Linked DNA regions of Ovis aries. The protein of the gene in region 1 interacts with the protein of each later gene in a pairwise test. Links are inferred from orthologs where the notes say so. Each region holds a gene or a part of one and is shown on either strand. Other genes may lie near its edges. The genes, in order: BPTF and MAZ.

What was found.
Region 2: the proteins of BPTF (region 1) and MAZ interact in a two-hybrid assay, tested with the Homo sapiens proteins (2 studies listed by BioGRID). The link is inferred for Ovis aries from reciprocal best matches to the Homo sapiens genes BPTF and MAZ.

Annotation. Positions count from the first base shown.
Region 1 is NC_056064.1:48,822,358-48,826,677, reverse strand, and holds the start of BPTF (nucleosome-remodeling factor subunit BPTF), read left to right. Parts: upstream 1-1,229; 5' UTR 1,230-1,454; coding exon 1,455-2,088; intron 2,089-4,320. UniProt on the Homo sapiens protein: Regulatory subunit of the ATP-dependent NURF-1 and NURF-5 ISWI chromatin remodeling complexes, which form ordered nucleosome arrays on chromatin and facilitate access to DNA during DNA-templated processes such as DNA replication, transcription, and repair.
Region 2 is NC_056077.1:26,949,439-26,953,855, reverse strand, and holds the start of MAZ (myc-associated zinc finger protein), read left to right. Parts: upstream 1-1,445; 5' UTR 1,446-1,460; coding exon 1,461-2,207; intron 2,208-2,290; coding exon 2,291-3,147; intron 3,148-3,538; coding exon 3,539-3,602; intron 3,603-3,740; coding exon of another isoform or gene 3,741-3,839; exon of another isoform or gene 3,840-3,871; intron 3,872-3,877; coding exon 3,878-4,049; intron 4,050-4,417. Other genes in the region: kinesin-like protein KIF22, read left to right, coding at 113-322, 410-469, 558-605. UniProt on the Homo sapiens protein: Transcriptional regulator, potentially with dual roles in transcription initiation and termination.

The DNA.
Region 1 (4,320 bases):
TTCTTTGTGGTCACATGTTTCAATAAGTATTAATACATTATAAAATACAGCCTGGGTCTTAGCCCCAGACCACTGCGAGTTGAGTCTCCCTCTTTTGGTCCCCGGTTGTTGGTGGTTTTAGTCGCTAAGTCGTGTCAGGCTCTTTGTGAGCCCATGGCCTGTAGCCTGCCCGGCTCCTCTGTCCATGGGTTTCTCCAGGCAAGAATACTGGAGTGGGTTGCCATTTCCTTCTCCAGGGGAGTCTTCCCGACCCAGGGATCAAACCTGGGTCTCCTGCATTGCAGGCAGTCTTTACCAACTGAGCTACGAGAGAAGCCCAGCTTTGGTCCCAGGATGCCTAAAATTTCATCCTCATGATTCGCCCCCTGGGTTTAGCCGAGACTTTGTTACTTGTCAGGTAGATTAAAATTATCTCCCGGTAACTCAAACATCCAACATTTTAAAGTAGGTATTAGGACAGAAGTTATCCTTTCTACAGCAAGGAAGAAATTAGAAAGCTCTTTCGGAGGTGGTCGAGTTTCTAGCTGGGACACTAGCAAAGGTGGAGGAGACTGGAATGTAGTTGCTTTCTGAAGTTTATCGAAGGCTTTTTGGGAGGGGATTTTATCCCGAGTCTCAGAGCGACCCTCCCTCAGGGTCTGGCAGCTTAGGGCGGGGCTTCTAGCAGCGCCCCCTCCCCCCCCTCCCCACCCCAGCAGTTGTCATTGGGATCAATTCCTGGACTCTCTCGAGCCAAGCGTTCGGAGTTTCACAGTTCTGGGGGCTCGTCTCACAGTCCCCTGATAACCTCCCTCCGTTGCTGGCGCTCACCTTGTCCCTTCTGTCGCTGGAGTTGCACAGCCCCTCGCCCCACCCCGCCGCGGCGCGATACCCTCTCTGGCGCTCTCAGCATCATTATCCCCCAGGGGACAAGACGGGGACAAATTTGGGGGCTTCCCTGCCCTCGTCCCCTAGCAGGGGAAGAGGACACGTGGCAAGGAGGCCTCGTGAGTTTAGACTCCCGGGGCCCTCGACACGGGGCACTTCTCGAGGGAGCGCCCCTCTCCTCACAGCCGCCGGCGGCCGCGGTCTAGCCGAGCCGCGCGGAGGCGCCCCGGGCTCCCCGCCCCCGACCCGGCGCTCCCGCACTCCCCCTAGCGGCCGCCGCGCGGCCTCGCTCCGTCCCAGGCTCGTCGGCGGCGCAGCTCACGTGACCGCGCTCCGGGCCTGCGGCCGCTGTCGGTTCCCCCAGTCACCGAGCGAGAGGGAAGAAACAAGATGGCGGCTGAAGGCGATCCGGAGTGGGGCCCCAGCAATTCGGATTGAGCCTTCTCCCTCCACCCGCTTCCGCCGGCCGGGCCCCTCCCGCCCGGCCCCGCGGGCCTCCCCACCCGGCCCCGGCGCCCCCCACCGCCACCCCTCCGCCCGCCCCTCCCCCCTCCGCTTTCCCTTCTCCCCCCCGCCTGAGCTCCGACATGAGGGGCCGGCGGGGCAGGCCGCCCAAGCAGCCCGCGGCTCCCGCTGCGGAGCGCTGCGCCCCGGCCCCGCCGCCGCCGCCGCCGCCGCCGCCCACGTCCGGACCCATCGGGGGGCTCCGCTCGCGGCACCGCGGCAGCAGCCGGGGCAGGTGGGCCGCCGCCCAGGCTGAGGTGGCGCCCAAGACGCGGCTGAGCTCGCCCAGGGGGGGCAGCAGTAGCCGGAGGAAGCCGCCGCCGCCGCCGCCGCCGCCGCCGGCCCCCCCCAGCACCAGCGCCCCGGGCCGGGGGGGGCGAGGAGGCGGGGGCGGCAGGACAGGGGGCGGGGGCGGCGGCGGCCACCTGGCCCGGACCACCCCGGCCCGGAGGGCCGTCAACAAAGTGGTGTACGATGACCACGAGAGCGAAGAGGAGGAGGAGGAGGAGGACATGGTCTCGGAGGAGGAGGAGGAGGAGGAGGAGGACGGCGACGCCGAGGAGACCCAGGATTCCGAGGACGACGAGGAGGATGAGATGGAGGAGGACGACGATGACTCCGACTATCCGGAGGAGATGGAAGACGACGACGACGACGACGCCAGTTACTGCACGGAAAGCAGCTTCAGGAGCCATAGCACCTATAGCAGCACTCCAGGTACCCACCCAGCCCGGTTGCTGCAGACTTCTTCCCCACCTCCTCCCCCTCCCTCCCCCCTGGCTCACTCCCTCTCTGGTCTCCCCCCACCCCCACCTCCCCCCCACCCCCCAAACGGAGGGGAAATGCGACGGCCCATCAAGTGGCAAAAAACTAGATTTACTAGAGGAAAGAGGCGCATTGTTCAAAATGGAGATTGCATTGTTGCAGTTCGCAGGCCACACGCTCGCTCTCTCACTCGCTCGCTCTCTTCCCTCAACCCCCTCTTTTTCCTCTTAAAAATGTGTGCCAGTGCAGTGTCTCCACGGGCATAGTTGAAACTTTGGCACACGCATATCCATTGCATTCATTTTTCTCCCCTTGTTTTGGTTTGGTTTTTTGGAATGAAAGAAGCTTCTTGTTTTTGCAAACCTCTTTGCATTTCTAATGTGGTTTCTTTTAGATTTCTCGTCTCTAATCGGTTCCTAAAAAAGGGAATGGAGGATTCAGACAGATTGTGCCATACAAACACACGCACACACACACAACATGCTTCTCTTCACACCCCGAACTGTGTGGTTTTAAAAGTGTCTTGAGGAAATGGATCAGTTGGGTTAGTAGGGGAGCCTTATCTGGTCCTGTGTGTGTGTGTGTGTTTATTCTTGAGTGCTGATGGGCTCGTGCAACAGTTGCTAGTGAATGGCTGATTAAAAAGCAAAGAAGAAAAACCAAAGAATACCAAAACAAATTTGCTGTTTTATCTGATTCCAGTATCATTTTGGTAAAATGCAAAATAAGAGACCGCAGGAACTTGAGTCTTAACTAATTTGATCCCTTTGCCTGAGAAATGCCGTTTCCTGTCACCTGTTGCAGACACGTATGGTTGATCCTGCAGACGTAATTGCTGAAGATGAACTTTTGGACCAACTTCCAAGTCACACAACAGAAGTATAGGGAAACCTAATGCAAAATGACTTTTTCTTTTCATTCTATTTCTGAGGGTAATAAGTCCTCCTTGATCTACAATGAACTTCTCCATGGTGACTCCTCTTTTCTCAGAGAGCTTCTCGAGGCTGGTGCGGAGATACATTTTGTTTATTTAAAAAACATACACACACAATGGCTGCTGTGTATTAAATTCATAGTTGCAGTTTACTAAATGGTGGAAAAAAATCATAATTTACAGCAGTAACCTACAAGATCTTTTCCTTTGTATTTTTTTTAATCTGAACTAAATTAGAATCCAGTTTTCAGAGCATTTCCGAATTAAAGTTCATGAAGGAATAGAGTCTTAACAGTGATTAAGGTGTGTCACTTGTTTTTAAAAGAGACTGGACCAGCCCTCAAATAAAAATCAACAAAGAAGACAAAAAAAAAAAAAAAGGGACTGGAATAGGAGAAGTGGTTAAATGTAAATGTGCCTTTTTTTCTTTTTTTAATAAATGCTTAAATACTCATTGGAGGAGTATGAGCATTAAGTCAGATGTAAGCCCATTTAGCTTGTCCTCCCAGCAAAGGAAAAAGGTAATTTCTTTTGCCTGACAGTAATATCTGCCTGTCTTTGGGGTGGAGTGAAGGAGAGCTGGCAGGAGAATGAAGAGAATGAATCAAATGTCAAGTGTGTATGTCTTGTATGTGGAAAGGACTACACACCATCCTTGCCAACTTAATTTTAGTGCATCTTTTATAGTAATGATTTCTACCTTACGAAATCACATGTGGTCTTTTCGACCAGGAGCCCAGAACTGAAAGACTTGTGGAGAGGAAATTATACTATTGGAGGAAGTTTTCTCAGATTAAGCAGAGCTAAGGCGTTTGGCAGGGTGGTTCAGCTAACTTTAACTCCTCTTTGAAGGCTTAGCAAGTAATATTTAGGGTTGAGAGCGGTGTATATGCTGTTAAATTACAATTTTGTGGTTAGGCTTCCTTTTTTAAAAAGATCCTTATATCTTTATGTACTTCCATGATAGTTTGTTTTTTCCGATGACATTCATAGTCTACCTTGTGTATGCTTGTCACCTTTCACCTTTATGTGAAATTAAGGGTTATATATCCTTATACTAATCTTACAGCCCCTGTAGTTCCTAGTGTAGTGCCTTGAGCACACTACAGGTGCTCATCAAAGAGTGGTTGGACAAATGCTTGTTAGTAGGTGAGAACTTGTAATAGATGAAGTTGTGCTGATTCTCCAGTGGCTACCATAATTCCTAAATATTTTGGATGTGGGAAACTAAAAATTGGCCTAATTAGATT
Region 2 (4,417 bases), on another chromosome or scaffold:
CAGGTAGCTGCTGTTAAGACTCCTATCCTTGGCAGAGGAGTCCAGAGCGGTTCATTGCCGCGGGCCAAACAGCAAACTCTGCTGTTTCTGTCACTCACCTCCTGCCTCATAGCTGGAGTCCCTGGATGCATCACAGCCAGAGAAGGCTGAGGACGGCTGGGAGCTGCAGATCAGCCCAGAGCTACTGGCCCATGGTCGCCAAAAAATATTAGATCTGCTGAACGAAGGCTCAGCCCGTGATCTGCGCAGCCTGCAGCGCATTGGCCAAAAGAAGGCTCAGCTCATCGTGGGCTGGAGGGAGCTCCACGGCCCCTTCAGCCAGGTAATGGCTCAGGGAGGACAGCCCTGGAATGGAGTTGGGTGGGGGACACCTGGCCTAGACCCTTCCCCATCGCTGTTGTCCTGCCAGGTTGAGGACCTGGAACGCGTGGAGGGCATGTCGGGGAAACAGATGGAGTCGTTCCTGAAGGTGAGCTCGCGGCTCGGGCCCCCTTGTTACCCTGGTTTGTACCCTGCCCGGCTCTAAACCTGATCTCCCCTTCCCTCCTGTGTTGCAGGCAAACATCCTGGGTCTTGCCGCGGGCCGGGGCTGTGGCCCCTCCTGACTGCCGGCTCCCCTCTGTACCCTCCCGTTTTTTTTTTTTTAAGTCCTTGTGTAACTGCTTGTCTTGTAAATACAGTTTTCACTCCGTTGCTTCAGCCTGATTCTTGGGACTACGGGGGCGGGGCCGGGGTATAATTGCCCTTGGGATGGGCCACAAGCTCAGCCTGCAAACTTCTTTGGGCGCCATCTTTGGGAAAACGCGAAGCAGCGCAGGATTGTAAATAAACCGCTGGAGTGGGAGGGGGACAGGACGGTGGCCGAGAAGAAACAAAAAGCTCCCGCGAAAGCCCTAGGACGACGACCGTTAGGCGGGCGCGCGCTTAGAGCTTAGCCCCGCCCCATCCGTAACCCGGCGCGCGCTCCCCTATTCTCCCGCTCGACAACGACAGCGAGTTTGTGCGCGTGCGCGCGGAATAACGGCCGCTGGCGGAGGGAAGCGGGGGGTGGAATCTTTGTGGGGGGGAGAGAGAAGCCGCCCCGTCTCCCGCGCGCCCACCACCTGCGCCATCGTCAGCCAATCAGCGGCCGTCTCAGGGGTCTCGCGCTTGGGGCGACTCCGGCTGCTGGGTGGCTCCCCTGTCCCTCCTCCCGCCAGAGTCCCTCTTGTACCTCCCCCCTCCCGCGGGCCTAGCGCGCGCTCGCGCTCGCGCCCGCTCCAGCCTCTTGTGTGTCCTCGCGCCCCCCGCCCGCCCTCCCTCCCCGCGCGCAGTGTGCTCCGCTCCCCCCACCCTCCTCCTCCTTCCCCCCTCCCGCCCGCCCCGCGCGCCTCCTCCCCGGGTTCCCCCCTCCCCCACGGCCGCCTCCTCCTCCTCCCGCCCCAGGGTGAGCGCGAGCCACCTCCCTCCCTCCCTCCGCCATGGATCCCGGCAACTGGAGCAGCTTCATCTTCCAGGTAACAACCCCCTCCCCCGCCCCCCCCCCCCTTCCCACACCCCCTCCCGCCCGCCCTCCCTCCCGTCCCACCCCCCCCTCCGCGCGCCCGGTGCGCGCGCAGCTGTCCCCCTCCCTCCCTCGCGCCCTCCCCCGCCCTCCCCGAGGCGCCGGCTGGGCGCGCGCGCGGCGGGGGCCGAGGCTGCTCCCTCGCTCCCCCCACCCCGCCCCGCCAGGCTCCAACCGCCGCCGCCGCCGCCGCCGCCCGGGCCCCCGCCCCCGGCCCCCGGCCCCGCGGGGCCTCCCGCCCCCACCCAGGGGGCGTCGCCGCCGCCGTCGCCGCCGCGCTCCGCGGCCCGCCAGGCGCCCTCCTTCCCTCCCTCCCGCCGGCCGGGGTGCGCGGGCGGCGGGGCGGCCCGCGGGCCATGCGTTCGGCGCGGCCCAGCCCGGCCGGCCGGGGGCGGCGCCCCGAGCCCGGGCCCCGCGCGGCCCGCGCCCCCGGCCCCCGCTGAGCCCCGGGGGCCCCGCCGTGGCTGAGGCCATGTTCCCCGTGTTCCCTTGCACGCTGCTGGCCCCCCCCTTCCCCGTGCTGGGCCTGGACTCCCGGGGGGTGGGCGGCCTCATGAACTCCTTCCCGCCACCTCAGGGTCACGCCCAGAACCCCCTGCAGGTCGGGGCTGAGCTCCAGTCCCGCTTCTTTGCCTCCCAGGGCTGCGCCCAGAGTCCATTCCAGGTGAGTAGGGGCCGGCCGTGGCGGGCCGGGCCGGGAGGGCGCCGACCCGCGGCCGCGGCCCACACGGCGCCTTGTCTTCGCAGGCCGCGCCGGCGCCCCCACCCACGCCCCAGGCCCCGGCGGCCGAGCCCCTCCAGGTGGACTTGCTCCCGGTCCTTGCCGCCGCCCAGGAGTCCGCCGCGGCCGCGGCTGCCGCCGCCGCTGCCGCCGCCGCCGCCGCCGTTGCTGCTGCGCCCCCGGCCCCGGCCGCCGCCTCCACTGTGGACACAGCGGCTCTGAAGCAGCCCCCGGCGCCTCCTCCGCCGCCCCCGCCGGTGTCGGCGCCCGCCGCCGAGGCCGCGCCCCCTGTCTCTGCCGCCACTATCGCCGCAGCCGCGGCCACCGCCGTCGTTGCCCCAACCTCGACGGTCGCCGTGGCCCCGGTCGCATCTGCCTTGGAGAAGAAGACAAAGAGCAAGGGGCCCTACATCTGCGCCTTGTGCGCCAAGGAGTTCAAGAACGGCTACAATCTCCGAAGGCACGAGGCCATCCACACCGGAGCCAAAGCCGGCCGGGTCCCCTCGGGTGCTATGAAGATGCCCACCATGGTGCCCCTAAGCCTCTTGAGCGTGCCCCAACTGAGCGGAGCCGGCGGGGGAGGGGGAGAGGCGGGTGCCGGCGGCGGAGCGGCCGCAGTGGCCGCCGGCGGCGTGGTGACCACGACCGCCTCGGGAAAGCGCATCCGGAAGAACCACGCCTGCGAGATGTGCGGCAAGGCCTTCCGCGACGTGTACCACCTGAACCGACACAAGCTGTCGCACTCGGACGAGAAGCCCTACCAGTGCCCGGTGTGCCAGCAGCGCTTCAAGCGCAAGGACCGCATGAGCTACCACGTGCGCTCACATGACGGCGCTGTGCACAAGCCCTACAACTGCTCCCACTGTGGCAAGAGCTTCTCCCGGTGTGCACGGGCCTCGGCCGCCCCCTGGGCGGGTGGGGAGGGCGGGAAGGCCGGCGGTGGAGGTGGCCTGGCCTTGGCTGGTGGGGAGGGAGGGAGCTTTCTGAGGATGGGGACTGGGAGCCACTCCCAGGGAGGCGGGAGGAAAGCCTCTCCCGGTTACCAGGGAGCAGGGGGTGGTCCTTAGCAGAAGGAGGTGGGTCCTTAGGTTGAGTGGGAGGAGGCCGAGGCCGCCTAGAGCGAGAGGAGGGATTCCTGCCTAACCGGGACTCTGAATCCCTGGGCTTGGGAGAAAACGCAGGGCCCCTTGCAAATGCTTGATGGACCAAGTTAGGCAGACTCGGGGACCCATCCACACCCCAGGGCCCTAACCCCAACCCCAACGTGTCCCCAGGCCGGATCACCTCAACAGTCACGTCAGACAAGTGCACTCAACAGAACGGCCCTTCAAATGTGAGGTAGGAAGCCCGCCTCCTCCTGTCCTGATTTTCATGATTTTGATCCTCATTGTAGTTGTCTGAGTTCAGCCTCTCAGAGCCCCTTTTTCTCTCTCTTCTTTTTGCTTTTTCACTCCATTTTCTCATCCCTTCTTCAAGGCCTCATCATCTCACTCCCATTTCCTACAGATCAAAGACCCCCAAGGCTCTGATTCCTTTAACCTCTTGCCCCCCTCGCCCTACTCCCCGAAGCTTTAACTCTCCTGACACCCCCCACGCCCCTCCCCCCTCCCCAGAAATGTGAGGCAGCTTTTGCTACGAAGGATCGTCTGCGAGCCCACACAGTACGACACGAGGAGAAGGTGCCATGTCATGTGTGTGGCAAGATGTTGAGCTCGGCTTATATTTCGGACCACATGAAGGTGCACAGCCAGGGTCCTCACCATGTCTGTGAGCTCTGCAACAAAGGTACATGCTGAGAGATGTTGGGAGGGCTAGGGACAGAGGGTGGGGACAAAACCAGAGGCCTTTCCACAGATGTGGGTTAAAGGTGCTGTAGCCAAGAGCTCGTGGCATCTAGAGCCCTTTAGAAAACACACGAAGGAACGTTGGGACGACTGAACATCACTAAGTTCTGAGATGTCATGGCTGGAGGAGATGATCTACCAGAAAGAGTCAACTCCTGGGTGTGTGTGGGGAGATGGGAGAGGGCATTACTGCTTTGGGGAAGGAGTGGTCAAGAGAGCCAGTTCCCACGGGTTGGCAGGCAAGGTTTCAGCTGTGCAGCCACAAGTTCTTGTCTTCAGCTCCTGGGGCAAGTGGAGTACATTGGCAGA